3 linked regions of the Caenorhabditis elegans genome follow. The protein of the gene in region 2 purifies or fractionates together with the protein of the main gene of each other region. This does not show direct contact. Each region holds a gene or a part of one and is shown on either strand. Other genes may lie near its edges. The genes, in order: D1086.3, T04A8.18 and gfi-3.

Region 1 (9,481 bases), on a different chromosome or scaffold from region 2:
GCTTAAACATCAAAGTCACGCAAGTTGCTATATCATTTTGAAGAGAAATCTCACAGCTTTTCAAGATTTCATTATTCATTTTTGAAAAAGCTCTGCTCTCTAGCGGACAGTTCAATCTATTCGACTCACATTTTTACAGCTCTGTGCAGCTCGTTCTTCATCTGGATCACATACTCGATTCCCAGGGTCTACACCTTCGGCTTCTTCAAGAAATCCATATGACAAGGAGACAAGAAAGAGTATCAATGTTAGAACCCGAAGCATCTGAAATCTGAATATTTCTACGATTTGCTCAGTGAGCTCCACGTAGACTCGTATCAATTGGATATCAAAGCAAGAGAAAAATTGGAGAGATTGAATGAAAAAACCACCGAAGAGAAACACAAATATTTTCTTCTTCTTGATTCATTCTTCCACTCACTGATCTCATTTCTGTCTCATCTTTTTTCTATTTTCCTGCGTCTCTTCGCCTGCTCCAGTTTATCTGTTTTCTGTTCTAATGACCGCGTTAAAAATTTTATTGGTACCTGGAGAGAAACCCTTTGAAGAAATGAAGAATGTAGGAGGGAGGAATGGGTACTCAACCGGAATTTTAAAGACTTTTAAATTAATTATTGCAGTTTTGCAGGGTTACTGTAACAAGGAACAAGAAATCGAAGAACATTTAATGAAGTTAGTTCCATTTTGCTCCAATTGCCTTCTCGCATTCGTTCTCTTTGAACGAGTCTTGAGCAAACTGAAAAATAGAAATTTAGAAAAGTTGGTGGAAATGAAAATGAAAGTTTGAGGCTCTCTAAGCCTAAGCCTAAGCATCTAAGTTTAAGGCCTGCGCCGAAGCCTAAACCGATTTCTAAGACATCATCCGCTTACCTTCTGCCATCCCTGCAACTTATCATCCCCGCACTCTTTCTTAATATGAGCCTTGATACAATCTTTCGAGCCCTTCAAAAATGTGCAAGTGTCCTTTGTCGACTTCTTTGTCTCTGATTTAAAATCTTCCAAACACTTTGCAGCATCCTTATCACTTTTCTTCAATGCCTGCAATTTCTTGCTGCAATCCTTGAACTCGTCCTGGAAAAGAGCACGACCACAGAAGTCGAGAGTCTCCTTGTGATCTTCTTCGAGTGGTTTACATTTCAGCTCTTTAATGCATTCCTGAAACACATTTGAGAAGTTTTTAATATCACTGATGTTACCCACCATGGTGTCTTTGCACGAAGCCTTGACTTTTGAGAGATCCTTGTCTTTGCTCTTTACGAGAGCTTTGAGCTCCTTATCTACTTCATCGCTTCTCTAAAAGTGTTTTTTTTATTAAAATGACGGAAATAGTTCGAAATGCAGCAAGTACAACAAAAAAGGACTACTGTGATAAATCTCCATGTTTGAAATTCCACCAAAATAAGAACTGCATGAGCAATCATGACAATTGAAGCCTGCTTGAACAATTTTATAAAACCCACCTTAACACATTTAGTAGTCTTCAATGAAGTGATAACTCCACAGGATTTCAAATATCTGGCCACTTTTGATTCAGTATCCTTATCAGAACTGGCAGCCAACGCGGAACAAACTAAGAAAACTGATAAAATGATAATAGATTTCATGTTGTTTTCTCGTCGGTTTTTCTTTATCAGACACGTTGCTTTTATATACCAAGTTTAGAGGTCAATTGATATGAATTCAAATGAAAAAAAAACATATGAAAAAGGGTTGGGATCGGGATATTGTAGGTGTGTTTGTGATAAGGATGACGTTCCGAGACCAATTAATTCTACTTTCTGTTCGATTTGTAAACAACGAAATTCTCGTTATCTCGGATTCTGGAAATCTAACATTTACCCTGACCTCGAAAGGACAGGGTTCTCCAAAAATTGTTCACTGGGTCTTTTGCAAGGCCCTGAGAGCGTTTATAAATAGCGGCAATACCACTGACGAGAGGACAGTTATATGCCCGAGTGTCCGGACATCTCGAGGGTTCCGCTCGTCACTATGCTTTACGTGCAAACATGGCACTCGAGTCCCCTAGCCGCAATAAATAAATTTTTTTTTTTATTAACTTGAATATTTGATACAAACATAAACAAAATAAAATGGAACATGAGATCTTATTTTACAGATAATACTGGGGGGATATAAAAACTACTATTATTAAACCACGAATTATTGAGCGCGTTTTTTTGGAATGCGGAATGACCACCAGGCAGGTTTTTCGTGAGGAGTCGGAAAAATCTGAAATATTAACATTTTCATAAAGCTTTATTGATTTAATTTCCGTTGTATAAGGATATTAAAATTTGCAAAAAAAGTTGAAAAAATTCCACATACTTTCTGCTTCTTGCTTCCAGTGATTTCCTGTGACTGTTCAGTGTCCCTGTGTTTTGTTGGCGGTCTTCCACACATTCTACGTGCCGGATTATCTGGAACAAAAACAATTTATCTGAAAATCGGAAAACTAAACTCGATGAAGATTCGGCAGAAAAAAATTCGGAACTACAGTAATCTTTAAAGGCGCACACCCGTTAAACCTGTGCTTAAAACAAGTTTGTCGTGTCTAGACTAAATACCGTATTATTGTAGCCAAAATTGCAAAATTTCGCGAAATTAAATCGTGTCTTTCATTAATGTTGATGTGAGTTTACTTACCACACTGTGAAGTTGGACGATCACTGTTGACAATCACAGAATTTAAAAACTCTAAATCATCGTCGGTGCTTAAATCTTCGTATACTCCTGGTGCTGAAATTTGTAATATATTGGAAAATTGACTTCTCTTGGATTTCCGTACCAAATGCAACTGATTTTTTTGGTTTAGAAGCCACGCTGATTCCTGATCCACTTTTTTTGAGAATTCCAGAATTATTCGACGATTTCTCAATTTGGCAGTTCTTACTCGCATTTTTTTGAGTTTTCTTATTTCCCTTATTGCGTCTATCAGCTTCGTCATTGGAGTCGACAGATTTTTCTCTTTCTTTGGGCTTTGAGGAATACTTGGAGTTAGCTTTCCGGAGCTTTGCCTGGAAAATAATCAGTAAAATTCCATGTTTTTAAAAATTACTAACATAGAAAGGTTCCCTCTTTTTCAAATATTCTCGAAGATTCGAAAAAGCTTCATTCACTACTTCGTCTTGTTCTTTTTGTGGAAGACTCTTGAAACGTGCACCTACTGATCTCTCTGCATTGTCTCGAATTCCTGAAATTAACTATTTAGTTTTTTATTGGAAAACATTGATGTAAAAGCTTTCCTGCAGAAAAATACATAAAATATATTAAAACGAACTGTATCTCGGCAAAAAATATGGGCCATCGGCAATTTTTTTCGATGTATTTCTGTTCTGTGAACGACCGGCGATGCGACCAACTGTTTTTCGTTGTTCATCTGAAAAAAAATCCCAAAAAATGTTCATTTGTAATGTTTAACAATGAATTGGTGTTTATAGAGTTGTTTTCCTCAAAAATAAACATTTATTAAAGTTTTTTTAAATTGTTATTCCGCTTTTAGCATTGAAGCTACTGACGAATTCAAATTTAGCAAGATATAATAGATTAAAAAAATAAATTACCTGTTAATATTATAATATTGTCGTTATTAGAACGAATTCTGGACATTTTCAGCAAAAAAAACCAGATGATAAGTATGCTTTTTCGGGAGAAAAACAGTTTGCTTTATTAAGGTACGATCTTAAAGGCGCATATCGCAAAACGAGAAGATGGTATCGCAACGACTTGCTTTGTTTTGTAGAAACTTATCAGGCCTGGATTGGATTTAGGAAGTAGTTTTCGAATATTAAGACAGAAAGACTGTTTTTTAGACTTTCATTGTTTTAAACTTGCGGAAAGTTTTGAATTCTACACAAAATGAACTAATTTTGCAACAAAAATGGTGTCTTTTGGAAATGGTTCATTAATTACCGCGAATTTGCTCATATTTGAGGATTTTGTAAGAGAATAATTTTGAAAAAAAAACCGTAATTACTGAATATAACAGACTTTTCAGCTGAAAAAAAATTAATATTTGTACAGTTTCCATGTAATAAATGTAGTTAATCCACCAAATCGAACAACTAGACAAATGGCACCTGATTGCTTGCTGAGCAGCTGCCGCTGAAAACGTTTGACGTCACATCCACAATCTTAGTTCTCTCTACTTTGCTTCTAGCTTGTCTGCTGCTCTTTTCATTTTGAGCTCCGAATGTTAATCCAGAACATATTCCTCTTACTTTTTCCAATTTCAACTGTTTTTTCAAGTAATGGAGTGAACTATTTCAAGTCAGAATGTTCATTTTTTCCCGGACGTAGTAATATAAAGTATTGCAGGTTATTTGTAAGTTTTGATGGGTGTCTTTGGCTTTTTTAAATGCTGAATAATTTTAAGGAAGGTGCTAAATATTATTGGAGGCATAATTCAATTGCGTGGAATCCGGAACAGACCAAAAATATGAGTCTTGTTGAACTCAGAAAGCATTGTGATGATTATTTTGTAAGATTTGTTTGTAATACATATGGAAATACAGGCATGTAAAAGTATTCGCTAGATCTTGAGATCTCAGCTCACGATAAAATTTTCAAATAAGTGGGGTTTTGGATATTTTTTTGAATTTAAAAAACAATATTTTTCTAGCTCAGTGTGCTCCATTTCCGCTAAATAAAATTTATTTCGGTACTTCTGTATTATTTCCCCTCATTTTAATATTATCCATTTTAATAAAACGTGATGTCCATTTTCATTCTTTAGGCTTAGAAAGGGTTATTTCCTAAGCCTAAAAATACAAAAACACCACACGTTTTTATTTAAAAGTTTATTTTAAAAACTGAGGGGAAATAATACACAAGTACCTTTATTTCCAGATTTCCACTCAAAACACTTCCAAACAACCAAATTTCATAATAAGAGCTCTTAATAATCGTTCTAAAATGTTTTCAAGTGGTTCAAAATTTCAAATTTTAAAAAGTTAAATTTAGCTGAAATCTCATTTTGACATTTTCACAATGCCTTCAGGTTTGCATGGAAAATACGGGATGCTACATGGATTTTGTCAATTATCAGGAACTGGACAAGTGCATTGATGACGTATTTCATCTAGGACCAATGTATTATTGTGAGAAAACATTGAAGGAAGTTATTGAGAAAACCCCGGATCAAGTTTCTGAATGTGTTAAGGATTATCTCAAAAATGTACTCTTTAGCATTTTGCATTGATTCTGTAAGTTTAATTTCAGAAAAATCCGGACAAAGTCGACTGCGTGAGCATCCAGACAAAAAGTAAATGCTTTCTCGAAGATGTTGGGAAGCATTGTGGTTCTGATTTTTTGAGTCTGTACAAGCAGGTGAAAATTTGATTTTATTAATTTCTGCAGATCTCTTTAACTTATAATGCTACAGCACATAAATATTCGTCTCTACAATCGTGCTTGCGATGGACGTCTTCGATATAAAGATCGGGTTCGTGGAGATGATAATAGCATGCAAAGAGGGATAATTACAAAAGAAGATGTTGAAAGGGATTTCGGAAGTAATTCAACACAAATTTCGGCTTAATTTCAGTTCATTTTTTTCCGAATGGTTTTTTGGCACGTTTTAATAAAACAATTTGAAAAAATTTCGTGCTACATAGAATTCCATTAAACTTCAAGATGCTAGATTATTGAAAAAATATTTATGTATACCTAATTATATGTAGTTCCACGTTGTTGTTTTTTACAAAACTATTTGGAGTTATTAGATTTATTAAAGAAATGACACAGGCATTAAGAAAGAAACTATAGGATCACAGAAGCAAGAAATTTACTCTTTCTTGTCGGCTTTCTTTGTAACCTTGGAACTTGGCGCACTCTGTTCCTCATCGCGGGACAGTGTTGAGCTTTGACTATCACGTATCACGAAACTTCTCGATCTTTTTCTAGCAATCCTATTGTTCCGACAGTCGCGTAAGTGCCTTGTCAGTCGCTGAATAAAATAGTTCTGAAGAATTTCGCATCGAAAGTCGCGTTCTTTCATGTCGAGAAGCTTCCGGCGCTTTGAAACTGCCAGATTGAGCATTATTCTTGGGTGAACTTTCATCGAGGAATTCATTGGCATAGCCTCATCTTCCGATGATGATGAAGAGGATGAAGAGGAGAGTTCAAGACCGTAATCCATATTTCAGATCTGTGATAGATATAGTTAGAAACATGGTTCATAGTGAAAAAGATTTGAATATTAATTACAGTTGATATTTACAAATATAACAAAAGTTTAACTTCCGAAAACAGTTTTCAGGTTTTTTTTGAACCCAACTGATAGGTTCGTTAATAATCTACGAAATAACATGAAGGTTCTTGAGAAAGTTGATAGTCACTTTATTTTCAATAAATCGCATATTTTACGGTATGTTTTGAAAAACTATAGCTTTGCTTTTGCAGATTTACTGCAATTAAACAAAAACAAAAATGAGTTACTTACAAAAAAAACGGTAGCAGAAAGACCAATGACAAAAAAAAAGGCAAATCTGTAAGAATGAGACCGACGCTGTTAATAAATGCATAGACTGTAGATGAGCACATAGTTTTACAACCTCATGTCATTTTCATTGTCACAGTGGACACCACAATATAGCGGCGAAATTCCAACTTGTTACAGTGACATTTCCCAAGTGCCTGAGAATTACTTTATTTCTGGTAGATCGGAGAATATCGATTAGATTTGTGTAAGCGTTTGGAGGTTCTTGCCAATTTGGAGTTTCATCTTATCTCTAATAGTAAATCGATTTTTAAAAAAGGGATATTTGAACATTCAATCAGCAAACCTATCAACAGCTTACTGGCTCCAAAACCTTCTTCGATGTTTTGAAGCAATTTCTCTAAATTTTCAAACTTTTTCAGAAACGTCCAAAATTTCTAGCCATTGCTAGAAATTTTTCAGCAATCTCTTAAACGTTTGATAAGTCCCCATTGAATTTTCAGCAATTTATACAAGTTTTAAAAACGATTCTATTGATTCCTAGAAATTTTTCGAAGCGTTCAAGAGCTTCAAGAATTTTTCAGAATTATTTAAAAAATTCAAAGTATTTTTCAGAACCTATCGTTACAGTTTATAAGTTTATTCAGCTTCAAAACTAGTCATGTCGTATATTTACAGTTATCCTACAGTAATACGTTACTATTACATTTAAAACAAACTTAGTTTTTAGTTTTTCTACAGGAATCATACAGTTTTCCTACAAAAATTGAATTATACTACTACAGTAATCTTTCGGTAATCCTACAGTAAGTAACCTTGATTTTACCACTACCGTATCACTACAGAAAGAAAAGCCGAGAAATGATAAGATAACTTTATTACATAAGAATAAATCAGATTAACAAAGAAATCTCTTGAGTTGATCGTCTAGTTGCTGAAAGCTTTTTCAATCAATTAAATATCTTAAAAACAAAAACTCACATCATGAAATTCCTTGGAGTAATTTTTGGAACAAACTGATTCTGTCTTTTTCTGAACACATTTCCCATTTGATTTTAATGTCTCACACCGTTGCTTTTTGTCAGGAATCTGGAATAAAAGCTTTGTTTTCTTTCGAATTTTTTGAGTCAAAAATTGAAAGTAAAACAAGTAACGTTTTTTCTTTAATTTGAATGAAGATATTTAGAGAAATATATAATTTCCTCTAATGGTTTTTGGTTTCAAAATTGTTTAAAAAATTATTTAGCGAACCCACATTTATATACACCGGTGTCATGAAGAAGCTGTAGACACAATTGTCTTCAATACTTGTAGTCATTTTTTGGTAGCATCCATCGAATTTTTTAGCTTTAAAGCTGTACATATCACATACACCATCGAGATTGGTAATTAGATTGGGATCAATTCCAGAACACAATTGGAGTGTCTTGTAGCATTTCTGAAAATTCAATTGTTAAAAGTAGAGTAGCGTATACATAATGACCAAATATAACTGGAACATTTAGAACAAATATTAAAAATTTATTTTGCAGTTTTTGCTTCAATATATTGAATTTCTCAGCAAAAGTTTTAGCAGAAAAAAAATTTAAGAATTTTCAGGCACCAGTTTTGATTTGACAAACAGAAAAACTCACTAATGAGAAATCACAGAAATCAGTGATATCCTTGATTAAATTTGAGGATTTTCGGGTTCCAGCTAGCACCGATTTCAGATTATCAAGCATTGGAGAAAGTCTATTTGTACAGTCCCTCGCTTCGTTTCTTATTTCAGAACTAAAGCAGTTATCCGGGATTAATAAAGCAAAATTTGGAAGGCTTATTAAAACTATTGATTTGAAAGCACGAATCAACATGTCTGAAAAAATTCTTTATTTTTTGAAATAAAAACAGTCAATAAAAATCAAAACCTTCTGTGGCAAACGTGATGAGGGGTTGCGCAAAGGTAAAACTGGATCAATATTTGTTTAAAGGCTCAGGCGAACATGAACTCTTTTCGATTTCTACACACATTCTTGTAACTTATTTTGAGAATTCAAAGAGAAAATATTTACTGAACATGGCTGTTTTACTTTCCGAATGGCAAAAGTATTGATCGGAAATCGAATTTAATAACCGACTGAAAATTCAAATTCCCAACAAAAAATTGGTGTTCAGATCTTCTAGAAACCAATCGTTGCGAGACCCACCGCTGTTTGGACCTGCCGAGACGAGACCTTGTTGTGAGACTTGTCACTGTAAAAAAAACGAATAAATGTTCGAAATATTTAAATCAATGTTTTTATTTTGAACCAATGGGGATCGTGTGGTTGTCTACGATTCATTTGCGCACGAATTTAAAATTCAGTCCCTTCTGCTCAATTTGAGTTGGTTTTTCTCCCGCTTTACCGAATTTTTCAGTTTCTACAATGTTATGAATGTTAGTTTTGCAGTCCAAACTTCAGCTTCAGTAAATTCGCCACATCCACTCTTTTTTAAAGTATTTTTACTTAAAGTTTATGTTTATGGGTTCGTTTTTCCACACACCGAATGATTGGTATATTGCACTAAAAGTCTTAAATATGCGTTTTATTAATCATTAGTTTGGTTCAAAACTTCTTTTTTGATAGAACGCAATGAGTAAATTACAACAAGACAGACTGAGTGTGTCCAATATTCTAAAATAAGCCTTATGGGTACTGATCACAGTGATGAATCTTTCTTCGGTTATCGATGTACTGAAAACAAATAAAACATTCTTGTAGAATATTTAGTTTATTGTTACCCCTCTCAAATCATCTGATTGCTGCTGTCCACAAAGTGTTGCTAAATCTTCCAACCCCAACGGAATAGTTTTAGCATTGAGATTGATACATAAAATCATATCAATTGGCTGAAGGTAAGTTAGCTTTTGAATTTCCATTCAGTTCATAGACTGATAAAACTCTCACCATGTCCCATTCGACTGGATTAATTAGATTAATCATCAGAATTGCGTCCTTTTGTTGTAATATTGTCTTGCACTCTTCGGTCACAACTGACGGAGGTGGGGTAGCACTGAAATCAACT
Region 2 (11,387 bases):
ATTGACACTATCAAGGTATCGGAGAAGACTGACGCTTATGTTGAAGTTCTTGACGGTTCGAGAGTACATCCAGAGACCTATGAATGGGCTAGAAAGATGGCTGTGGATGCGTTGGAGGTTGATGATTCTGCTGATCCAACTGCGGCTCTTCAAGAAATCATGGAATCTCCTGATCGTTTGAGAGATCTCGATTTGGACGCGTTTGCCGATGAATTGAGTCGACAAGGATTCGGAGAGAAAAAGTCGACGTTGTATGACATCTCAAGCGAGTTGAGTGCGAGATATAAAGATCTTCGGCAACCATTCCAAGAACCTACCGGAGAGCTTTTGTATGATCTTTTGGCTCGTTCAGGAAAAGAAATTAGAGTATGTTACTTGTAATAATTCTGTCGATTTTATTTTTATTTTTGCAGGAAGGAGCTAAAGTGTTGGGAACAGTTCAATCTGTGCAGTACCGTAAAGTTGACAAAGATGCAGCAGACAGCATGTTACCTGATGTTGGAGAAGATGGTCTTTTCACTTGTCCATGTTGTAAATCGTTCACATCTTCGGCTCCTGGTGGAATTCAAGAACATATGCTCGGTGACGTAAGTTTTTCTCAACTAATACTATTCGTTAACCAATGTTAAATTATTTCAGTCTCGTCAAGGTGGATGTCCTGGAACACCAGTCGGAATTCGAGTCAGATTTGACAATGGAATGACTGGATTCTGTCCGAACAAGAACATCTCATCAAGTCACGTAGACAATCCATTAACCCGAGTCAAGATAAATCAGCCATATTACTTCAAAGTTCTCAAGTTGGACAAGGAGAGATTCTCACTATTCCTAAGTTGTAAGAGTTCGGATCTGAAAGAAGATGATTTATCTCAACGTGATCAGTACTGGGATGAGCATCAATACCAAGCTGATTTGGAACTGATGAAGAGTGAATCGAAAAAGAAGACAGAAGCAAATACACGTGTGAAGCGAGTAATTGCGCATCCAAATTTCCATAATGTATCCTACGAAGCTGCTACGAAAATGTTGGATGAAATGGATTGGTCTGAGTGTATTATTCGTCCATCGGCTAATAAAGATTCTGGTCTTTCTGTGACATGGAAGATTTGTGACCGCGTCTATCACAATTTCTTTGTCAAAGAATCCGCAAAGGATCAAGTTTTCTCCATTGGTCGGCAACTCTCAGTCGGCGGAGAAGATTTCGAGGATCTTGATGAGTTGATTGCTCGATTCGTTCAACCGATGATACAGATCTCTCACGAGATAACAACTCACAAGTACTTCTTCCCAAATGGAACATGCGAAGAAACAGAAGCAGTCGAGCAATTTGTACGAGAGAAGAAACGAGAGCTGGGACGATCTCCGTACGTATTCAGTGCATCCTACAGACAGCCATGCCAATTCTGTATTTCTTATATGTTCGATAATACAGAACGGATTCGACATGAATATTTCAAAAGTGAGTTTCGAAAAGAGATACGAACAAAGTTTTCAACTATTTTTGTTTACAGTTGTCCCACATGGAGTCCGATTCCGACATCAAAACTTTGATACGCTAGATCGAATGATGGCTTGGTTCAAACGCCATTTCCACGAGCCTCCCATCGAGTTAAGGCGATCTGCGATCCCGGCTCCACAGTATCGAGTTGGTGCTCCTCCAGCAGCTCCATACTATCCTCCTCAATTCGTCGGCTATCACTGAAAACCCTGATCTTATTCTCTTTATTACCCACACCTTATCAGACACATTCAATCCTGTTTCCTTTGTTCCAGTCTATCAACGATGATCTAATTTTAATTTATAGAATACAACATCCATCTGTCTTAATCCCACATAATTTGTTTTGATTTCGGTAATCCGTTCATCCTCGATTTTTACTTTTCAAACATTTTTATATATCTATCAAAATATTTATTCAAGCAGTCATACTGTTCATGAGCTCTTTCTGTATTCAAGTACCATTTTTGTTGTTTACTCAATAAATTTCGTAATCAGAATCACTGCTAAATCATCACGAAAAAACGTAGAATGCGTTGATCACAATTGATATTGGAATAAGAATTGCAAATTCAGTTTTAGAAGAAAAAAAAGTATTCTAGATTCTACTCATATGAATGATTCATCACTAAAAAAGGCACTGTCCCAAAACTCGATCTCATCCGCGCCAAGGTAGTAAGGTTTTTGTTTCTGTCGTATCTATTTAACCTAAACGTAAATTAAAAAATATCTGTCTTTTTTTCTAGGCGTCCTCAAAAACTTGGAAGTGTGCAGAGTATTGTAAGAAATGAATCTGACAAAAGTAAGTTTCAAATCAAATTTCCCAATTAAATCAATTAATTTACTTTTTGAGATGTTCCTTCTCCTTTCGAAGAGATCACACTGAGCGACGATGATGAAGAAGCACCGGCTAAGAAACCTGTAAAATGTGCGACGTGTGCACGAGATATGACTCTTTGGATGAATTCCAGAAGGTTTGAAATATTATTTGTGTTTCTTCTCACTGTTCAAATTTTAGAGATATTCATGTAAAAGTTTGCAAAGCGAAACAATCAGAGAAGGAGAAGGAAACTACAAGAAAATCGAAAACACTCACCGAAACCATAGAAAAGTTAGTTTCAGTAGAAGGATATTCTGTGATGCAAAAACATATTTCAGAGATGATCAAGTTTATGAGAAGCCATCTTCAAAGACTCATCTATTTGAAAAACCTTTCGAAAAACCACAGGAACTTCCAAAATCATGGGAGCTATCGAAGAACAACGTGAAATTTGCACGAATCGCTGAGGATGATGAGGAAAACCGAAAACGGAAGCGTCCTCGATCGTTTGCAGTTGTGGAATTGGCACCGAAAAAGTGTCAATGTGAGGTTCTTACGACACTTCATTCAAGATTTATTGACGAGTTTCACAGTAAATCTATCAAAAATCAAAAGAAACGAGAGGAAGGAGTGACTGAGCATGCGTTTCAAATGAAGAAAATGATTGAAAAAGTAATTTTCTAGTTTATTATAATTTAAAAAAAATCACTTTTTCAGATTTCCCGATACGAACAACTCTCATCTGACATGCAAAAAGTTCTTGATGACAATTCTGAACAATTACCAACTCACATTTTCATTACCTGCAGTGATGGTCATCGTGTAAAATGTCAGACAATGATCTTGAAACATCGGACATCACTTATCAGACTGAACCCTAAATCTGAAAATATTCAAGTCGAGCACACAAAAGAAGTTGTGAAAGCATGGATTTCATTTGTATTCACTGCAAATATCGAATGGAATGATGATGATAAGGATGGTGTGAGGGATTTGGCTTCGAAGTATGGACCTGTAGGATTAGACTTGATTGTGAAAAATGATAAGGAGGAAGATCTTGAGAAAGTCGATGATGTTGAGGACGTGGTAGAGCCTGAAGCTAAGATAGATTCTGTAGTAGCTGATCCTGTAGAAATAGAGCCAACTGCGTCTCATAGCGACCCAATCGAACTTGATAAATCTGTGAACTACTTCACATCTGATGATCCTTTCTTTGGATTCGGAAAAGCTGTCGAAAATGTGGAAGATGATGCAGAACAAATCATGGAAGATAAACCACATGAATCAGTACACTCTACTCCACAGAAACCAACTACTAATGTGACAATGGATTCATTCGATGAATGGAGCAATCAACCGTCTACAAATCTTCCAACTACATCCAATGTCATTACTCCAATCCGCAACATTACCTCAAAAGCTGTCTTCGGATCCCATGTCAAAATTCTGAAGACCAATGATATAACTCCAATGCCTGCATTCGATTCAATGGAAGAAGCAGAATTAAAAGAACGAATGAAAGAGATCGGGATGCGGCCAAAAGGAAAGAAAGCGATGATTCAGATTCTGAAGAAAGCATATATCACATTACATCCAGAAATTTGCTCAGGAACACCTACAATTCGTCCGCTTGTCAGATCTGCAAGTTTAGAAAAGGTTTCGGAACAAGGAGGAAAGGGTGGAAGGAAAACAATCAAGACGAAGACATTAAGTGAAAGAATGATTGCATCGCCGAAGAAAGTTTCTCCTAAAAAGCAAGGAGTCAAGAATGCTATTTCTGGTGAGTTTATTCATTTTCAATTAAATTGAAAAATTGCTAGACATTTTATCTAGTTGCTTTAGAAGGATATTAATATTATATAATAGTTTCAGATGAAACTTCCAAAAATGTATCCAATGTTTCCGATGATCTGGATGAAGATAATGATGGTGATAAAACATTGAATATATCAAATGACGAGCGAGAAGTTGGAAAAATTTGCGGTGATGACGTTGGAGACGATGAAGAAGATGATGATGATATGTCAGCTTCCAGTACCAGTGGCAAACATGACTTGAGTGCATTGAAATTGGCATTTTTAACATGGCTTCGAAGTGATCAGAATACAGTTTTACATGAGCACATTCTCTCACTCCAACCTGTATCCTTGGTTAGATTCCAAAGTTTCCACAACTCTTTGTTTATTGTAAATTTTCAGGAAGAAATGTTGATTCGTCTAGAGAAAGCTGACGGCCCACTTGGAAGGATTGGAAAAGGAAAACTGGTGAAATTACTGGAAATGCTGAAAATCACGTACCAACTTCCACAGAAGACGGGAAGAGCACGTGGCGGCTACAAAAGAAGACTATAACAATTTTTTCCATGCAATTTTATGAAGAGATAATTAGGAATATAATATGTTTTCACGGAAAATCAGAGAAATTCAAAAAATACAAAAAAAAATTAGAATTGAGTTTCGTTAATTCCTGATCTAGTTCTGTAAGTAATTAATCCATATTCGTCAATTCTTGGAGCACATCCAGTATTCGCGAAGAGTACCATTTTATCCCGAATGTACAAATGTGCAATCTTTGTTGGATCCAAGGCGCTGTACACTACATATCTTACCATTTTTACAGTTTGCACTGGTTGCGGCTTTTTCGGGTTCTCTTCAGCAATACAGCTGAAAATAAGAAATATAAAACCTTTAGAATGTCTAAATTCTAACAATTTAGGTCCATATTTAGCTTCAACAAACTCCACAATTAGTCGATCAATCACTTCTTCTACTTCCAATTCGAGATGAGTACTTATAGCCCACCAACAGAACTTATCGGAAACACCACCGTGTGCCCATTTGTCAATATAGTCACGCATTCTTTCTTGGCTGGAAATTCAGAAATTTATAAAAATTAAAAATCTATAATTCACCTAACAAAAGAGTCATGAAGAATGAGAATTCGAAGATCCTTATCAAGCATTTGATCACAAAGAGAACGATCGTTTGCACGCATCTTGAACCAATCAATCAGTCCGTGACGAGCTACAGTAAGCAATGAGAACGGCCAAAGATACTTTATAGCGGTTTTATGCATATAGACATCAAATGAATATGGTTGGAAGAAATCATATGTTTTATGGATTGACTCAACGTCATCATAGCTGGATCCTGTAATTTTCCAAATTATTACTGTTTTAAAACTTTGAGAGAGAAATAAAGTTGATTGAATTAGTTTTCATTATATATAGCAGTTTCAAGTTTGTGTGATCCTAGTCTTGTTCTGTGAAAAAAAAACCAACGAAATTTGACACTTTTTGAGGAACCAGTACGGTACCTGGTCTCGAAACGATCGAAACATTGCAGCTACAGTATCCGAAAGTTGTTCTCAATTCTCAACTCCTCCAGTATTTTTTAATAGTTCTTGTGTTGAAAAAGTTCCAAAAAAGTTACAAGCGTTTGTGTCAAACATTTCGAAACGTTGAGGGAAACTATGGAAAAGGGGAAATTCATAAAACTTATGGTTACGGTAGCTGCAAAATTTCAGTCGTTTCGAGATCCGGTATCGTAATTCTATTGCAAAAACCGCGAAACTGGATATAATTGAATTTTGTTTGATATAAACTGATTCAAATACGCATGGGCATATCAAGAAAACTTAAAGAAATGTGTCGAAAAAGTCGGATGCAAGAAAAGTCGATAATAGGCTCCGCCTATATCTTGGCTTTGGTTTCATTTCTCAACCGAACCTCTTTTTAGTTTTCGGTGTTAATATAGAACCGAGTAAGAAAAAAACTCAACAACTTACCGATAATGAAGCTCTTCTGAAGCTCCGGAATCTCAAAAACTTTTTCTGGCCACCCGGGCAAAGCGAGAGACGATTTCTTACAGTCCTCAGTGATAATTTTGAAAAAGTCTTTGGCGGTTTGCACGGCAAGATCAAATGCATTTATATTTGGAATTACAGTCTTCTTGATTTTTCCTCCCGGGGTTAACCAGTACACTTTTGTAGCGCCTGATCTTCCAAGAAGCGTTCGACGCTCCTCGCAGAAGCAAATTGCAATATCGTGCTGCCAATCGCAGATGAAGTTCAAAAAGTATCTTTTCTGAAAATATATAATGTTTTCCTATTGTTTTACCTATGGAAGAACTTACACCAGGTCTTGAGAAAACTCTCCAATGAAGATCTGGATAACGAAGAAGATTTGAAGTACGACGGCTCACATCATCCATGACAAAAAGTTTGCATTCCACTTTCATATTCTGTACAAGATATCGTTCTCCTTTAGATGTGGCTGCCAGGCTGATTCTTGATTTTAAAGGCATTTTGTGAATGATTTGCTCGCGAAGTCCAACTGGAAGATCGAGCCATGGAAACTGAAATTTGAAATTTATTTAGATGAAAAAAAATTAGGAAAGTTTATAAATAGAATCAAGAAAATCCACTTCACTGGAATTTACGACCTTGGCGAGCTACCGTATCCCCATTGCCACTTCAAAATGAATCTCATTTCTCAAGCCATAAATTTAGTCGAATGTACATTTTTTTCATCTTCTTTTCTCCCTCCTTTTCCTCTCGCTTTTCAATAAAGAACGAGAGGAAGTTTTAATGAGAAACATATCATTCTAGATCCAAATCGGACACCTCTTCAGTTTTAGGGTGTTAAATATATTACGGGAGCAAACACCCTCCCACGTAGGTACAAGAGTGCCTACCCACCTGCCTTCCTTAAAGGCGACCTACGCTTAGCTTGAAGGCGTACCCCTAGAAGCTCTAGCTGTGAGATTTTACCAACCTGTTCTTCTTCAATTACTTCCTGAATCACCGCCAACTTCTCATTATTCAACTCTTTTGGTTTTCCGATTCGAGTCGTGAAGAACTGCTTGATGTTGAATCCAAAATCCACATGACGTTTCGACAAATCAAAACGTATTTGGGGACGCTGAAATTTGAAACTGATACTTTGGATGAAAAATGAATAAAGCAGAACACAATGACATCAGAAAAAGATTTCCATGGGAACATAGTTTTTGTGTTTTTTGATTCCGTGTTCGAATTGTTACTAATTAATTTAAAATTATCCTATTTTCTGATAAAGCTTTACATATCACGTGGTCTCTATGTTTTTCAAACTTTGAAGTGATGTTTTGGAATGTTTCTTTGTGTCATTTAATAAATAAAGTCAATTATAGTTTCACACATAATAGTAGAGTATTTATCGCTAATTGAGATTTGTTCAAAATATACCAAAAAAAATTAAAAACTGAAATCTTTTTAATGTTATTTAAACTTTTTGCCAACTTTCATTTTACCCTTTTGAAATTAATTTTTACAATGACATTTGGTCATTTTGCCACCATGGGGGGGGGGGGGGTGATGTTCTAAAAATCCAAGTTTAAACATTTATTTATTTCGAAAATTCCTGAAAAACAATTTGGTCGTAAAGATTTGAGCTTTTGAATAATCACAATGCTTCCTACAAGCAGGCACAAGAATACCTAGCTATGAGCCTACAAGGCATAGGTAGCTCGAAATTTCCATGATTACACAGAAGCTCTGATGGAATAATTCAAAACTAGTTTGGAGTTTGTTAGAACTGGTTATTTTCCTATTAGTAAAGCACACATTGCCTCAACCAACTATAAGCTACTTACTGGTTTAGTAACTCCAATTTTGAGATGTCCTCCAAGAAAGTCTAGAGCCGAAATACGATCATCTGGATGTTCCTGCTTGCTCAACGACATTGCTCCACGGATTTTCTGCAAAAACTCACGAGTTTCATTAAAAATCGAACAAAAATTCTGGATGTGTTGAGCGTGGAGGCTTTTTTCTCTGGAAAAGAAGAGAAAATGGGCAAAAACAGAGAAATGTGAAGACGTACTAGACTACTAGAGCAAACGAGAAATATGTGGGCGGAGTTGAAGCTCAACGGAGCACTCACACACGAGAAGAAGAAGAAGAACATCGATTTGGAATGTGGAGAGAAGGAGAAGAGGAAAAGAATGGCAAAGTGCCATGGGAAACGAATTCTGAGAAGTACGGAAACTGGAAACGATGTCTCTTGAAATGTAGATATATCCTTCAAATGTTTGGTGATTAGGGAGTCATTTGCATATTTTTTTATTGATAAACCAGTGATGTCTTGACTGACTTTATCTATGGATGTATAGATCGGAGGAAAATCTAGTGATGTGATCATGTAAAATGTTTTTGGAACAACTTATTAAAACGATTTTTTGTTGGATAATTTTAAACGTTTAAAGCAGTTAACTAAATAGTGCAATTGGTTCCTGATTCAGGATTGTGGAATAATTGGAAAATGTCGAAAGAAGCAAGTTTATATGAATGATTCTAAAAATTATGTGCCTCCAATCTCCATGGAAACTTTTCAAAACACGTTTGCTTACATAGACGCAAACTTCCGAGTATTGTTTTTATTCAAAGTAGAATGTAGTCGATTATATAATTGAATCCTTGGAATTTTTAACAACACTCCCATTAATTGAGAAAAAAAATCATATATTGCAGAACACTGGGCATTGTCAAAATAATTTTTACAAATTAAAACTCTTCATTAGACCCCGGACAGTACTATTATACGAGTTGCCATCAAAGCACGACGCAACACGCGTTCTTCTTTTTTGGAGGCGGACGACGTGGTGTTGGAGGCGCTGAAAAAAAATCTTATTCTCATAGTTCTTTGTAACAGGACCACTTACGAATATTCTGACGTGGAGGAGGTGGGACCAAAGCAGTTGATGCTGGCGCAGTTGATCCTTCTTTCTTGATAGTATCCACACCACTTTTATCATCCTTCTTCGGATCTTCTTTGACTTTCTCTTCTTTCGTCTTCTCCTTTTCTTTCTCTTTATCATCCTCTGTCTTCTCCTTTTTCTCCTTTTCATCTTTCTTTTCTTCTTTCTTTTCTTTTTTCTTCTCCTCATTCTTTCCCTCATTATCCTCGGTTTTTGTCTTTTCCTTTTTATCCTCTTTGCTTTCTTCTTTCTTGTCATCCTTACTTTTTTCCTTTTTCTCATCATTCTCATTCTCTTTCTTATCCTCTTTCTTGTCTTCTTTCTTTTCATGTCCGTCTTCTTTCTTCTCTTCCTCTTTCTTTTCCTTTTCATTCTTTTCTTTTTCCGCCTCTTCTTTGTCCTTTTCTTCGTCCTTCTTCAATTCAGCAAACTCATCTTGTAACTTTCTCTCCCTTTTTCGAGCCTCCTTGTCTTTCTTGTCATCTCCAACAATTTCCTTTTGATCCTGAAAATTTTTAACATTCCTGTGGTAGCGGGGGCATTTGCAGCGTGGCCGCGAAAATCGGTGGCCGAGTTTGCTCTTTCATAACGACACATTTTTCAAGCTGGCGAATGAGGATACTCGAATTTTCTTCTATGAACGTGTGTTGAAAGTTATATTATTAGGTAGTGTTGCAAAACCGATTTTCCAGAAAATGCTTCATAACCATTTCATGAAGGTGGCCGAGTTTTCTGTTTCGCGGCCACGGCCATGTATTAAAAAACGACATGGTCACCGAGACAAACGTTTCCAGACTAAATATGTATACAAAAACTTATATTAAAAAAATCAACTTGAAAGTGTGTGAAGTTCAAATACAGTCATGTGCAGCTTTTCCTCGAGGAATACACGAGCCGCGTAAATTGACACATGGCCGTGTTAGAAGGACGCATTTCGGTTCTTCCATTATTTGATGATAAAGGCGCCCGTGTGCCGAGAGTTATACTTACCATACCAAGACCTTCTTTCTTATCGTATCCAGGTTTCATAATTTGCTTTCCTGACTTGGTCTTTCCCAGGTTCTCAGTTTTCTTATCGTTCATCTTATAGTGGCCACTTTCTGGTAAACTTGGCAAACGATTCGATTCCGTTACAATTTTCGAGAAATTGATTCAAATGTAGAAGTGATTCATATGACGAAGGAGGGAGCAATTTTTGCATATTGTAAACTAGGGTGTCGCGTGAAGACTAGAATGCCACGGTAAGGCTATTTGCTTCTAAATTTCAGTGTGAAAACAAATATTTTTGAAAACCATTTATATGAGAAAATGCAAGTGAAACATATTTTTAAAACCCGAAGCAAACCGAAAAATTAGAAGCTTTTCGAAACAATAAATATTGGAATAAATAAATATATATTATTATATCATGCAATAAAACTGTCATCACATCAGGACCCATCAATTGTTACGTATCCTTATCGATTTGAGTTGGCAGAAGGTTGTAGTGTCCGCCTCCAAACGATGAGGTTAACACAATATTTTTGCCATGGAAGTCATAATATAGAGTACAATGGAAGAAAATGTTTGATAAAACGGCAGAGTACTCGACAAGTGCGAAGAGCGTGTAAATTCCTGGCTCGCAGTACGTGTTATGCCTCCAATAAAGATATGCTCCAAGGAAAAAGCATAGAACGAAAATAGCAGCTCCCAGGATTTTATATTCGTGCGAACGTTGACCCTGCAATTTCAGTATTAATTTTCTAAATTAATTTCTCACAGATAACAAGTTTTGGAGAATAAATAAAAATTTATGAAAATAGTTAGACTTGGGGGATAAAGGTTTTTTTCGTAAATTGTTATTCAAGACGCCAGATTTTGCCAAAACTACGGTGACCGGACACGACATTTTTGTCTTTAATACAAACTGATGTGCGCCTATGAAGATTACTGTAGCTTCAAACCTTTTTGCTGTAGAATTTTCATCGATCCATCTTTTGTTTGTATTTTACAGAAAAAAAGGCGTGTCGAGTACTGTATTTATGGCGAAACTACTCGTGTCTAGATAATATTTACTTTTTTATTTACTAATCTCTTTAATTTTCAAGATTATGTGAGCAAACTTACCAAATTTGTTGCAGTTCTCCTTCCAGTTTCATTGAAAAGCCATGTGCTCAAAAGCATGTATATAATCGAACAAATAGCAAATCCACCGAAGCATTTAGCATGAAGAGCTGAATTTAAAAATAGTTAACTATTTCATACATTTTAGTTCTTACAGTGATCTTCACTTGATGAAATCGATGTTAATGCCAGAAGGAAGAAATTCTCTAGAAGATTGAGAAAGCAAGCCAAA
Region 3 (12,129 bases), on a different chromosome or scaffold from region 2:
GACAAAAATGTGTATATTTTGAATTTTGATATTGGAATTTTCAGAAAAAAAATATTTGAAAAATTATTCACGAATTAATTTTTCATGGGATTAGGAAATTACTGCCAAGACATTTTCAGGTTCAGGAGACACAACTGGAGCATAAACTAAAGAAATAAACTAAAATCACATCTCAAATTAATAAAATAACTAATTTGGTGTAGTCATGCTTTAAAATGTCTGAGAATAAGCAAAGTGCTCTTTTATCTCAGTTTCACAGTACAAAAAAAAAGACAAAATATGTTGAATTGAATTGAAGAGACATCACCGCTTTTTAGACTATTTGGCAACTAGTATACTTCTTTATAGCTGAAAATCAAAGTATGTTCAGATAATGAAGTTTTTTGGTATTATTTGGCTTAGGAAGAACTTATTATTGCCTAAGGTCCTAAAAGTATTCGAATAACTACTTTTGTGCTGAAAAAATTGCTTAATTGGGAACATTTTGGTGCACAACTACTTAACAAAAAATATTTCAGATTTAATTTCTTCCCACATCCTGTTTTCAAATTCTATAGAGCTGAAACTAAACAAAGTAATTAGCACATCTAATTATCCTCTTCTCTTTATCCTCATCTTCTTCCGTTCTTCTTCTTACGCATCCAGAACAAATGAGGCGTGCGCTAGACATCGCACAGCAGGTGGGAACGCACCTTTCTCTCTCCGCCGACATTTTCCCCCACCTCTGTAGATGGCGTAATAATAAGAGCGGAACAGATGGAAGGAGGTGAGAAGTGCACCTGTTCACGGAGTGTTGCGTCGTCGGTGGCCACGTTTATTTGCACAGGTCTCGTTGCGTAATTAGCCAAGAGGAAGAAGAGTATTTTTGTCTACTTGTGCATGGTAAAATGAGCGAAATGGCGCAATATGAGCTTAGTCTCAGATTCTTAAGAAGGTTCTTTGTAGGAATGGACCAAAAACCATCGAGGGATAGCAATACCTATAATTCAAATTTAGGTGGTTTGAATTTTAAGGCAGCATTTCTGTTATTAACAACACCTAACAACAAACTCTTAAGTTAAAAAAAAGTACAAAAAGCAATCCTAAAAAGGCGTTTTATGAACTAAGCATAAACTAAAAGTAAAAATAGCTCAGTCGGTAGAGCACCAGACTCTTAATCTGGTTGTCGCGGGTTCGAGCCCCGCATTGGGCTTATCCTTTTTGCCAAACTCTGATGTGCGTTTCAAATATCTGGACTAACAATTTGAACATTTTGTCTTGGTTTTCCTTTATACGTTTTTTCTTCATGTGGAGTTTGAGTAGCGATGAGCTAATTTCAGACCGTGTTCTGAAATGAAACAATTTTAAATTAAAGTAATGTCAATATTAACTATTTTTGAATTAAAATTCGAAATAATAAATTAAAAAACATTCTAAATGTGTTGCTGTTCCACAAATTGAACGTATTAAAAGTAATGAATGCTTTATTGCTTGCTACCTACATTCAATAATCACAAAAAATAATTCAATTTAGGCGGAAGTGGTAGCAGTTGCTGCTGTGGTTGATGCTGCAACTCCAGAAGAAGTTTCCACAGAAGCGCCACCACAAAGGTTGCAAGTGGCTCCGCAGTATTGGCTTTTTTGAGCAGGAGTGTAGAAAGTGGAGTTGCAGAACCCATTTGAAGCCCAGCTTGCACAATTACTGTTGCTATCCCCGCAGGTTGAAGAAGACGAAGAAGCCGAAGAGGAAGTTGTGCTACTAGCACCCGAACAAAGCCTACAGGACGCAGGGCAGTATTCGGTTTTTTGAGCATCAGAGTAAAATGATGAGGTGCAGAATCCGTTGGATACCCAGTTAGCGCAGCTGGAAAATTATCAATTCCAGCAGTGATAAAAAATTGCAAATGCTGAATTTTTACTTACTTTGGGTTAACATCCATGCACATTTCTACGGTAGAGAAGATGATAAGAACAGCCAAGACGCACAAAGAAGTAGATGACATTTTTGATTTAATTCAAAAACTGAATGTGTTCTGACAATGCGTTCTGATAGAATGCCTTTTATAAAACTGTTTTACGTTTGTTCAGCTTTTCCAAAAAGTTAGTTGATCCATTAAAGTGCCAAATCGGTGGGATCATCAGGTGTTTGATCCTAACAGTATCCATTTTCAAAAACGATGTTTGCATTTGTTATAACGGATATGGAAAGTTAGCAAAATTAATCATTATGTACACATATCCTATTTGAGTTGTCATGAGTAACTGGAGTGATGCTTTCAGTTGGCATTGTTTCACTGCAAATACGGAATTTTCACCCAAAATAGGAATTTTGCGGGGGTGGGGTTTTCAGTAGCCGGTTAATTTTTAATTTTTTTACTAATCTTTAAAAAAACGTTTGATTCAATGAGGTCACGCTTTAAAACAACAAATAAGTTTGGCTAGCAATAAATTTACATGAGAACATGTAAAACATCCAATAACAAAGTAATCCTTTCTATTCTTCGTAATTTCCTATAATTAATCACTTTCGATAATGATTCAATTTAATTTAAAAAAAAATAGACATCTCATTGCTATTAAAAAACTTGCACAACACGTTTTTGCTACAGTTGTAAATGTATTTTAGCTACCAGAAATATGTTTTCTGACATTTGGTAAGAAGCATTCAAACTGCACAAATGGTATCTGCAATAAAATAAAATCAAAAAAATTGCAATAAAACATTCCTTTTCAATTTTTTTTCCAATTTTTCAAAAGCAATTTTTTTACAAAAAGTTCATAAATTCAAAATCAAATAGAGCAAGAAAGACTCGTAAAAATACACTGTGAAGCTCATAAACCTGTTTGAGTTTTGAAACAAGATCGTTGAATGTAAGAACAGACGGGGGTCTTTGGGATTGGATAATGAAGCACTTTAAAAGTGTGTACAAGAATATTGGTTTGAAACATCATCAGATGAGGAGCCATTCGCATCGGCCGGGACAATCAGCAGTCAGTTTACCAAATTGCTCACAAATCTGCGACAGACGATTTTCATCAGGCATCAGTCCTTTGACGTCATGAAGAGCAGCAATTTCGGAGAGGACGAGCTTGGTAAACGCCGGCCATTGCCCGTTGCGGACCAGGGCACGGGATTTTTTCAACCACATCCGCGGATCTTTCCCTAGCAATCGATGACATCTGGCCGCTGTCATGTAGTAGCACGCCTTCTCGGTAAATGATCCAAACTGTTCAATGCCTTCATTGCATTCTTTCAAAAGTTTCAGACATTCGACATACTGACCATGGCACATCTGTAAATTTAGATTCTAAAAATTGTTTTTCATTTGATAAATGCGATGTTCTCAGAAAACGTTTATTTTATCTAACTAGTAAGCGAGTATAGTCTGACATATCTGGTGACATCTATAAAAAATACAATACCTTATGTTTTCAAACATCTCACTTCAAACAATTTTTAAGGCTGAATAAAAAATAATTTTCGGAGTGCAGCGCAAAATTTACGGATTCAAAACCCTAACGACAGTGCTCCACTTTGTAGATTCTTCAGTGAAATATCAAGATGGCGTAAAAAAATTCATGCAATTTTTTCTTTACATAAAATGCTTACCAGCATAGTTGCTTGTCTTCTCTTGACCATTGGCACAATGTCCTTCAGTGTGGTGTTCTCAGCAAGACTCAAGGCGTCTGCAAATTCTCTTGCAGCTTTTCTAAATTCTTGACTAGCCGTGTAAATGCATCCTGTTTGCATGTGAATTCGAATTCTTCCACGAATGTCCACAACGTTCAATCCCTCCAACACTTCAACACTTGCCCGTTCTTTTCCGGCTGCGGCGAGGAGAAGAGCTTGTCTAAAAAAATTATAGAAATTAAATGAGGTAATACTTTCAATTGCAACTCACCGAAGCTTGCATTCTAGTTCAGAGTGTGCTGCGAGATTCAAAACTTCAGAAGCACAAGCCTTGTAGTCATTTTTCAATAAGAATCTTTCAAAGTTGATGACAGCTGCACAAATGACAACGTGACGGTTGGACTGCCAAGAAAGTTCTTCCGGATAATTTTGTCGCATTTCCTCAATAGTTCTTAGTGCCGCGTCGTAGTTTCCGACTCCAGCTTGTGAATAAGATAGGTTTACCGCACCAATTGCCTGAAAATTGATACATCATACTTGAATTTCATTAGATACATATAAATTTTGCACCAATTTATTATTTGTCACAGTTCTAACTTGTACTTACCCAAGGTTCGGCCTGAAAAGGAGCCTGGAAGGGGTCTGTTTCATCGGTTCTGCAATTGTTTGCCAGCATGTTTTCTGCGGCGCACTTTGCTTGATGATACATTCCATTATGAATCCTGAAATTCAGAATGGTTTCTAGGCCATTTGCAACGAGCTACTTACATGTTACTAGATATCAGAGCAGCTCCATAAGCAGCCACTTTTCGTCCTCGTTCTCCAAGATCATTACCGACTGGACACGTTATTCCGGTTTCCGCAACTCTGTCGTAGATCCTGTAAATTTGGAAAGTTAAAGCGACGTCTCTGATTGAATGCTCACAGCTTATAGTTTCCTTCTGCAATGATCTTCATCAACATGAGCATTTTTCCATATGAGTCCATCTCTGCGACAAGCTCAAAATCTTCTTCAGAACTTAGACAGCAAGGCCCGGATCGCGTATGTCCGTGAAGACTGAAATGTACTAATTAGTTTTATGACTCTATACTAGTAGATAATCCAACTTACTCGTCTATGTGCAGCAAGGCTTTTCTCTGAACTCGCCGTTCATTTTCAATGTGCTTAGCGGTTTCTGCAAATTTGATTTGTTGTTGTCTTAGTTCTTATTGATTCAAAAAATAATAGACGAGCTCACTTTCATTGTTATCCTCAAGCAGCGCCCTGCATCCCAATATGTCGACAGTGTGCATTTCGATGTTGGCCATTTGATGGCAAATCTCATCATTTCGGAGCTGGGCTTGTTGGAGACTCTCGTGGAGCAGGAGACGAGCCATTTGGCTGGAAAATGAGAATATTTATGTACTCTTTATTGATATATCTTACTAGTCTCCAAATATTCTGCAAATTCTGGCTTGAAGAATCGGTGCATACATCAACGGGGTTTGAGTTGGAACTGCCAATCGATGCGTTTTTGCGGCATGCACCATGTTCTCATTTAGTCTGAAAATTATTTTTTTTGTTCTTAAACCTCGGTGGCGGTATAACGGTATAACACTTACTCAAACATGGACAACTCGAAAAACGATTTCATTGCCTTAATAGCCGACGAGCTATCTTTCAATTGAACTTGCACAATGGCCTCTAGCAGGAACCCTTCAACAACGTCCGGGTGTCGCTTCTGTACGATCCGGGTGTAGTGAAGCATCTCGTTATATTGGAAGGCAAAACGTGGGTTCTTCTGTAAAAACATGGAAACATTATTACTTTTCTTTTGTCAGTTTCAAACAGAGCTCCCAGCTGAGTGAGGCGCAAAATCCGGGCCTCACGCCGTCGCCGCGCGCCGCTGTGTGTGTGAAATGAAGTTCGAGAGGTAGTCATTCAAAGCGGCCGACACGTTCGGGGTTCCGCAGCTCAGCGTGAAATGAGTAGCATGGTGTGTGCGCAACGTAGTGTGAAAAGGTGGTGGGCTGGAAGCGGCCGACACGTTCGGAGGTCTGCGCTTCACTGTACATGCGGCGAGGGTGACGACGTGAGGCTGGCTCGGCGACCGCATGGGAGTTTTAGTTTCAAATAGTATCTCACCTGAATGAAGTAAATGCTCTTAGCAACCCAATCCCTTGCTCTGACAGAACAGTCGATGAAGTGTGGAAGATACTCTCCCTTGAACTCGGGATGATATCTGCAAAAGTTTCGGTATTTTTAGCAAAGCTTCGTCACTTACTTTGATTCAACAGCAGACAAAACCCATGATTTCATGGCTGCATTTATCTGGAACACTTCTGAAGGAGTTGACTTGGTGTATTGTGCCAGGAGCTGAAATATAATCAAACTGAAACAAATTTTTTCGATTGAAAAATCATACTCGTTTCATCCATCTGTACATAAACGAGTGATTGGAAGAAAACTGGATAATGTCTCCGCGCGCCAAGTCCATAGCTTCATGTACAGTGTCATTTGCTGGCAATTTCGGATCCTTTGGGTGCTTGTTGGTGTAGAACTCATCTTCAACGTTAAGAGTAACATCCGCCATTCCGGCGCCAATTTTCTCCATACTGAAAGAATGGAGAGATGCCAGCGGATTGTTTTGTATTATTGATTATGCTTATAATGCTCCAGAAAATCGAGCTAAGAAACATTATTGCATTTAATTTATTGTCGAATTGTTTGACTAGTTTTTATAATAGTTTACAATAAATTATAATGTTTTTTTAATTGTATAAAATGAAAATCGTTTGACTTACGCTGCATAAAAGTTTTTACAAACTTCACGGCCGTCATCAAATGCAAGTCGAGTGACAATTCTGAAGTCCTTATAAGAAAGCTCCACGACTGACGTCATCAATGCATACAGCCAATGGAAGATTCTAAAACATGAATTTGGTTTCTTTTTTTAAAATTTTTCCAAACTACTTACCGTTCTTTTTCGGCGGGGCTAAATGGTTTGTAGTAAGCACGTTTGTGACGGAATCCAAAGTGTGTTTGAAAAAGAATGCGAAGAAGGTAGAACGTTGCAATCTTAAGTAAATTTTTAGTACTTTGAAGGTTTTCTAAACTAAAAAACTTACTTTTGTTGGAGTCACTGGCTCTCCTGTCAAATTTGAGAAGACATGGCCGAAAATTGCATCCAAGTTGAGATAACTCCGTTTGATGATGGGCCGCGGCGCCGCTTTCTGCATTTCTGGAAAAAAAATATATAAAAACCTTGTTTTTTAAAGGTAATACTAGAAAATAGACGACTAAAATTCAAAAAAATGAAGAGGGATCGGTGCAGGTCGGTGGCTGCAGGCGCATTATTGGTTTGCTGGCGTGTTTCTCGTGGAGGAGGGGCGGGCGGGAGGACACACCATGTAGCAGAGAAAACTCTCTTATTTTGTGCACTCTCTCATCGGTATGGCCCGTTCTCAAACAACACACAACAGATATTATGAAGACATGGTTTTGATATGCATTCAGTTTACTAGAGACAAACTACAATAAAAGAGGAACGATGAAATTAGCATAATCCGCAAGTTTTAGCACAGTAGAGTTCACGTTGAGCATCTGTGTAGAAGCTGTTAGTGCAGAAGCCGTTGGCCGCCCAAGATGAGCATCTGAAAGTTCAACTTGTTTTAGGCTAGTCAGTAGAATTGATTGATCTTACGATGAAGCTGAATCTGTGCAACTAGATGATGTAGAAGCGGTAGAGCTCGACGAAGAAGAGTCACTGGAAGAAGAGCACAGAGAGCAGGTAGCTGCACAGTACTGAGTTTTGATAGCAGTAGTGTAGAAGGAAGAAGTGCAAAATCCATTAGCAGCCCAGGAAGTACATCTAGAAGGTTTTTATTTTGCAAGTGGCAAATAATCAAGTCTTACGTGGAAAAAGAATCTACACATGTGGTAGTGGTTGAGGAAGATGTAGAAGATACGACAGATGTGGAATCTGAGGATGAAGTGGATGATGAAGAATTGGAAGAGGTTGTTGAAGAATCAGAGGATGTAGTAGAAGAACTGTCAGCTGTTGTTGTGTCTGAAGAAGATGTTGAAGACGCGGAGCTGGAAGATGATGAAGAAGATGAAGAAGAATCATCACTGGACGTTGCAGCTGTGGACGAAGAAGAACTTGTAGAAGCAGTGGACGATGAAGAGCTAGAATCTGAAGAATCAGAGCACAAAGAGCAGGTTGATGCGCAGTATTGGGTTTTCTGAGCGGTAGTGTAGAATGTAGAGGTGCAAAACCCATTGGCAACCCAGTTCGCGCAGCTGGAAGAAAAAAAAATGAAATTTCAAATTTCAAACTGAATAAATAATCTGTAACTTACTTTGAAGCCGAGTCGGAGCACATTTCAGCGCTTGAAACAAAGAAAACAATTGTTAAAACGAAGAAGGTGTTCATGGTAGTGAGAGTTGAAAGTTGAATGTTCTGTGGGCCCTCACTGGCTAACTTTTATCCGATCTGTTTCCTGTTTGAACAACTGTCACAACGTTTTGACCCCTAATAAGCATTGGCACCTAGAGGAGGAACTATTAATGAATACATAGGTCTATAACAAGTTGCGCTCGATCATATGAATCATAAAGTTGCTGATCTTAAAAAGACAAATGAATTTTTATTTCTGAACTATGTTTTAATGAAATCAGCCAATAATAATTATTATTACAGTTAAAATTTTAATCGGTGAAAACTATTTCATTTTCCCATTGATATTACACCAGCAAACCTGCGTCTGCAAATGATGAAGGTCAAACGCCACATGCTACGTTTTCTTGATAACGATATCATTTTTCACTATTTATTTTTTTCAATCATCTTCAAATTTCGCGGCCCGGTTAGCTCAGTCGGTAGAGCACCAGACTCTTAATCTGGTTGTCGCGGGTTCGAGCCCCGCATTGGGCTTATCCTTTTGTAGAATTCGGATATTCTGTTCAAACATCTCGCCTGATAATTTAAACCTTTAAACTTAACTTTCTTAACCCAGCAATATTAATCATATCGTCGATATGAGAAACAACCCAATTTTGTAAATCTGCGGCAAAATTTATGCTTAATATGGATTCTGTTTCACTTTTTTTAAAATTAGAAACAGAAAATGGGTACTTTTGAAAACAACGTTTACGTCTTTCTGAACTTCTTATTATTATAATTTTCAAATATATCCTATTATTATAATGTATGCTTCAAATCTTAACTTTAAAAAACTTTATTTTGGTTTCTTTAAACTCAATTTTGCTCCAAAGTTTTCAAAAATATCAGTCAAGTTGGTGCCAATGGGAAGTTCCCTGAAGTGGGAATAGGAATGATAACCTATTGGCGCCGGACCGATATATAATATTTTTGAACAACTGCTCAGAGTGCGGGGAGCTTACATACTATGAGGAATTAATGCAGCGGACATTTATGCGTGTTTGGCGTTTGAGATGTGTTTCGCAATATGAGATAGGGAGAATTAATTTTCTTTTTTTAAAGTTGAGTTAAATAACTAATTGAATTTATTTATGACAAAAATAATATGCGAATGGCTAAACTGTTTTGTTTTCAGATGAACTGCCGTTTGGATTTTCAAGCAGTAAAAGAAAATGTGATGTTATGTAAAAATATTAATATTGTTATTGTTCAATACTCTGAATGTGGTTGATATTTATCTGAATGCGAAATTTGAAAAAATAACGGTCAAGTTAATGCCGATATGCTGAGCACAAATAAATGATGAGCACAAATAATAAAAATAATAGCCCAAAAACACCAAAGTAATATACATGGGTAATCGTAAACAAATAATGTTCTGAAAAAGATGCATAGAGTCTTTTTATTTTATAGTAAGAACTGTTAGTTTATAAATAATGTATTTCGCATTTTTAAATATATATCTCCAATTTTAAAACTAGTGAACAAAAATCATGTTATTTTAATGTATCCCATAATTTTTTCCGGAAATGTTAAAATTAACGGTCAAGAATGATAACTGACAGACGCTGCACCAACAAACGAGTCGGTGATTACTTGTTAAAGTTTGAAGTTGTACCTAAAGTATATATCACTTCAAGTAGCATTTTGTTCCGTTTCAGGTTTTTTAAACCATAAAACCAAACTGCTGGAGTAGAGTCCGATTTATTTGTAATTCACTATTGTGTTTTACAGAAAAATTTCAAAAGCAACGGTCAAGTTGGTGCCGATGAGAAATTCCCGAAGGGAGGCAAACTTGATAACCCACTGACGCCGGACCGATACATACTTCGGTGATTGTAGGCTGTTTATATACCAAGGGAGAGTGAGGCGGCAGACATTTTTCGTGCAATGGCAGATAGTTCTGTTAAACTGTGTTTCGCAATTTTCAAAAATCTATAATATTAGATAAGCGTTCTGCAACTTGCAGTACGTAGTACTTCCAACGCTTCAGAAATTGTAAAATTATAATACGGAAGTACTCCTATTCATTTCACAATTGTTGTTCAAAAATGTGTCAGCCCAACTTTTTTGTCTCAATACAAATTTTCAAAATGTAACTGTCAAGTTGATGCCGATGGGAAATTCCCCGAAGGGAGGCAAACTTGATAACCCACTGACGCCGGACCGATACATACTTCGGTGATTGTAGGCTGTTTATATACCAAGGGAGAGTGAGGCGACAGACATTTTTCGTGCAATGGCAGATAGCTCTGTTAAACTGTGTTTTGCAATTTTCAAAAATTGATGAATTTCCATAAACTCTCTGCAACACTAAGTAGTATTTGGAACGTTTCAGAGAATAAAAAAAATTATACAATCAAAATGCTGAAAAAATTATATTAATCAGTAGTACACTGTATGTCTTTTCAAAAATTTCAAAACGCAACGGTCAAGTTGATGCCGATGGGAAATTCCCCGAAGGGAGAGAAATACGATAACCCACTGACGCCGGACCGAGACACGGGTAGGTGATTGTAGGCTGTTTATATACCGAAGGAGAGTCAGGCGGCAGACATTTTTCGTGCAATTGCGCAACCTCTGGTTCTGTTATGAAGTATTTCGCAATTTCCACAAATTTATTTGGACATAGACCATTTGCAACTCCAAATAGCGTTCGGAACGTTTTAAAGTTTTACCTGAAGCAAGAAAATGATCCCACATGATTTTGTATGGTTACATTGAACATTTCTAAAACTGAAGGCAACATGGTTTGTCAAACATCCAAAAAAACTGTCTCTTAAATACGAAAATGTATTTAAAAATACAAATGTTTACAAGATATGCGAAGACAAAGCTTAAAACAGCTTTTAAAAAATTCAAAACTTTCTGGAGATAACACCATTCCCATTGCATCTCGAATTATATGTCGTGCCAAACTCTTTTGAACGATGTTTGAAGCCCTTGTTAAACTGAAAAGAAAATCCGAAAATCACTGTGTACAAAACAAATTCAAGATTACCGGGCGTTTTCTCGATAGTTGAGATTTGTATTTCTGCTTGCGTTGTACAATTTCAGCACTCTTTCTTTTAATGACAACAAAAAAGTTTTCCAAGGCTTCAACGAAGGTTTGATTTTGCATGACATGAAGAAAGTTTTCCTCAGATGTAAAGACTTCAATAAGCATTGACACATGCGCAACAAATTCCAATATGGTCCACTTTTCGATATCTAATTTAATGTTTCAAATTGCTGAAAATTAGAAAATACATACCTTCGGTTAATACTTCCCGTTTTGTCTTCAGTGTTTCGATTTGGTAGATTTGATCCATGGAGAACATAGTCGCATGAAACATTTCCACAATTTTGTTCTCAAACATTTTGTTCAAGGAAACGTGGCTCGTATATTCAGATCCTCCAACTTGAGAAACTATCGATTTTAGATTCTCAGCAAGGTTATGCTTATCAACTACCAAGTTCTTCGATGTAGACGCTGAAAGTTGTTGCCTTTTTAATATCAAAATTTGTTGCAAACCAGAAGAGCTGCTCCGGCGGGAGCACTCTGAAATCGGAGATGGAGATTTTGAAGTCGAAGCTTCAGCAAGCTTATGAGGAGAATTGCTAGAAGAATGTTTTGTTGTCAAATCTGAAATTATATTTGATCTCAACATTAATATTGAGCTTCACATTGTTTATACCATCGCTAATTTTTATGTCTTGAATTTTGACACTCGTGATTGCATCTTTGGAATATTCTGATTTCATTGTTACGCGTGATTTTGGAAAATTGCATTGTGGTGTCTGCACAACTAAAAAAAGTAAATGGTAAAATGTGTTACGCTTTTTCAAAACTCTTTGTACACGTGTTGCCAGGCTGTCTCATTCCGGTTTTATCTACAAAAAATGCGGGAATTTTTCACTCTGAAAAATGTGACGTCAGCACACTGTTCATGGAAAATTTGTTGAAAAGCCTGCGTCTCTTCTCCCGCATTTCTTAAAGATCAAACCAAAGTGGGACACTTCGACATCACGTGCTAGTAATTAAAACATTACCTGCTTTGGGTTTGGGGAGATCCACTTGCTTCTGCACCGGGTTTGTTGTAGTTGATCTTTGCT

What was found.
Region 1: the proteins of T04A8.18 (region 2) and D1086.3 fractionate together in Caenorhabditis elegans (co-fractionation; one large-scale study listed by BioGRID). This does not show direct contact.
Region 3: the proteins of T04A8.18 (region 2) and gfi-3 fractionate together in Caenorhabditis elegans (co-fractionation; one large-scale study listed by BioGRID). This does not show direct contact.

What each region holds. Positions count from the first base shown.
Region 1 is NC_003283.11:14,085,006-14,094,486, reverse strand, and holds D1086.3 (T20D4.11-like domain-containing protein), read right to left. Parts: upstream 1,696-9,481; 5' UTR 1,605-1,695; coding exon 1,461-1,604; intron 1,294-1,460; coding exon 1,201-1,293; intron 1,156-1,200; coding exon 871-1,155; intron 737-870; coding exon 674-736; 3' UTR 501-673; downstream 1-500. Other genes in the region: D1086.8 (T20D4.11-like domain-containing protein), read right to left, coding at 130-264; him-5 (High Incidence of Males (increased X chromosome loss)), read right to left, coding at 2,161-2,229, 2,326-2,417, 2,644-2,736, 2,786-3,014, 3,060-3,190, 3,278-3,376, 3,561-3,606; D1086.5 (T20D4.11-like domain-containing protein), read left to right, coding at 4,190-4,321, 4,373-4,477, 4,997-5,173, 5,218-5,325, 5,381-5,536; D1086.19 (uncharacterized protein), read right to left, coding at 5,783-6,136; D1086.18 (T20D4.11-like domain-containing protein), read right to left, coding at 7,335-7,370, 7,418-7,525, 7,692-7,874, 8,071-8,289; D1086.7 (CW domain-containing protein), read right to left, coding at 9,103-9,150, 9,198-9,305, 9,364-9,481.
Region 2 is NC_003281.10:4,705,902-4,717,288, reverse strand, and holds T04A8.18 (F-box domain-containing protein), read right to left. Parts: upstream 8,081-11,387; 5' UTR 8,042-8,080; coding exon 7,952-8,041; intron 7,240-7,951; coding exon 7,093-7,239; intron 6,674-7,092; coding exon 6,452-6,673; intron 6,403-6,451; coding exon 6,105-6,402; intron 5,468-6,104; coding exon 5,230-5,467; intron 5,186-5,229; coding exon 5,027-5,185; intron 4,982-5,026; coding exon 4,762-4,981; 3' UTR 4,670-4,761; downstream 1-4,669. Other genes in the region: emb-5 (Suppressor of Ty 6 homolog), read left to right, coding at 1-366, 414-587, 640-1,459, 1,512-1,702; him-18 (SAP domain-containing protein), read left to right, coding at 2,112-2,170, 2,245-2,300, 2,352-2,472, 2,517-2,609, 2,657-2,990, 3,036-4,098, 4,191-4,468, 4,517-4,669; T04A8.13 (G-patch domain-containing protein), read right to left, coding at 8,907-8,968, 9,017-9,557, 10,043-10,135; pgap-2 (Post-GPI attachment to proteins factor 2), read right to left, coding at 10,500-10,772, 11,159-11,265, 11,311-11,387.
Region 3 is NC_003284.9:14,475,274-14,487,402, reverse strand, and holds gfi-3 (Protein gfi-3), read right to left. Parts: upstream 6,832-12,129; 5' UTR 6,830-6,831; coding exon 6,719-6,829; intron 6,669-6,718; coding exon 6,568-6,668; intron 6,518-6,567; coding exon 6,395-6,517; intron 6,206-6,394; coding exon 6,016-6,205; intron 5,967-6,015; coding exon 5,875-5,966; intron 5,833-5,874; coding exon 5,736-5,832; intron 5,392-5,735; coding exon 5,213-5,391; intron 5,154-5,212; coding exon 5,037-5,153; intron 4,992-5,036; coding exon 4,849-4,991; intron 4,786-4,848; coding exon 4,722-4,785; intron 4,668-4,721; coding exon 4,536-4,667; intron 4,490-4,535; coding exon 4,379-4,489; intron 4,333-4,378; coding exon 4,218-4,332; intron 4,127-4,217; coding exon 3,882-4,126; intron 3,831-3,881; coding exon 3,590-3,830; intron 3,273-3,589; coding exon 2,931-3,272; 3' UTR 2,701-2,930; downstream 1-2,700. Other genes in the region: M163.8 (ShKT domain-containing protein), read right to left, coding at 1,510-1,843, 1,903-1,982; M163.11 (ShKT domain-containing protein), read right to left, coding at 7,147-7,243, 7,294-7,461, 7,506-7,892, 7,952-8,025; M163.5 (DUF4806 domain-containing protein), read right to left, coding at 10,893-10,985, 11,036-11,244, 11,288-11,506, 11,549-11,659, 11,712-11,822, 12,067-12,129. UniProt on the Caenorhabditis elegans protein: Probable component of the anaphase promoting complex/cyclosome (APC/C), a cell cycle-regulated E3 ubiquitin ligase that controls progression through mitosis and the G1 phase of the cell cycle.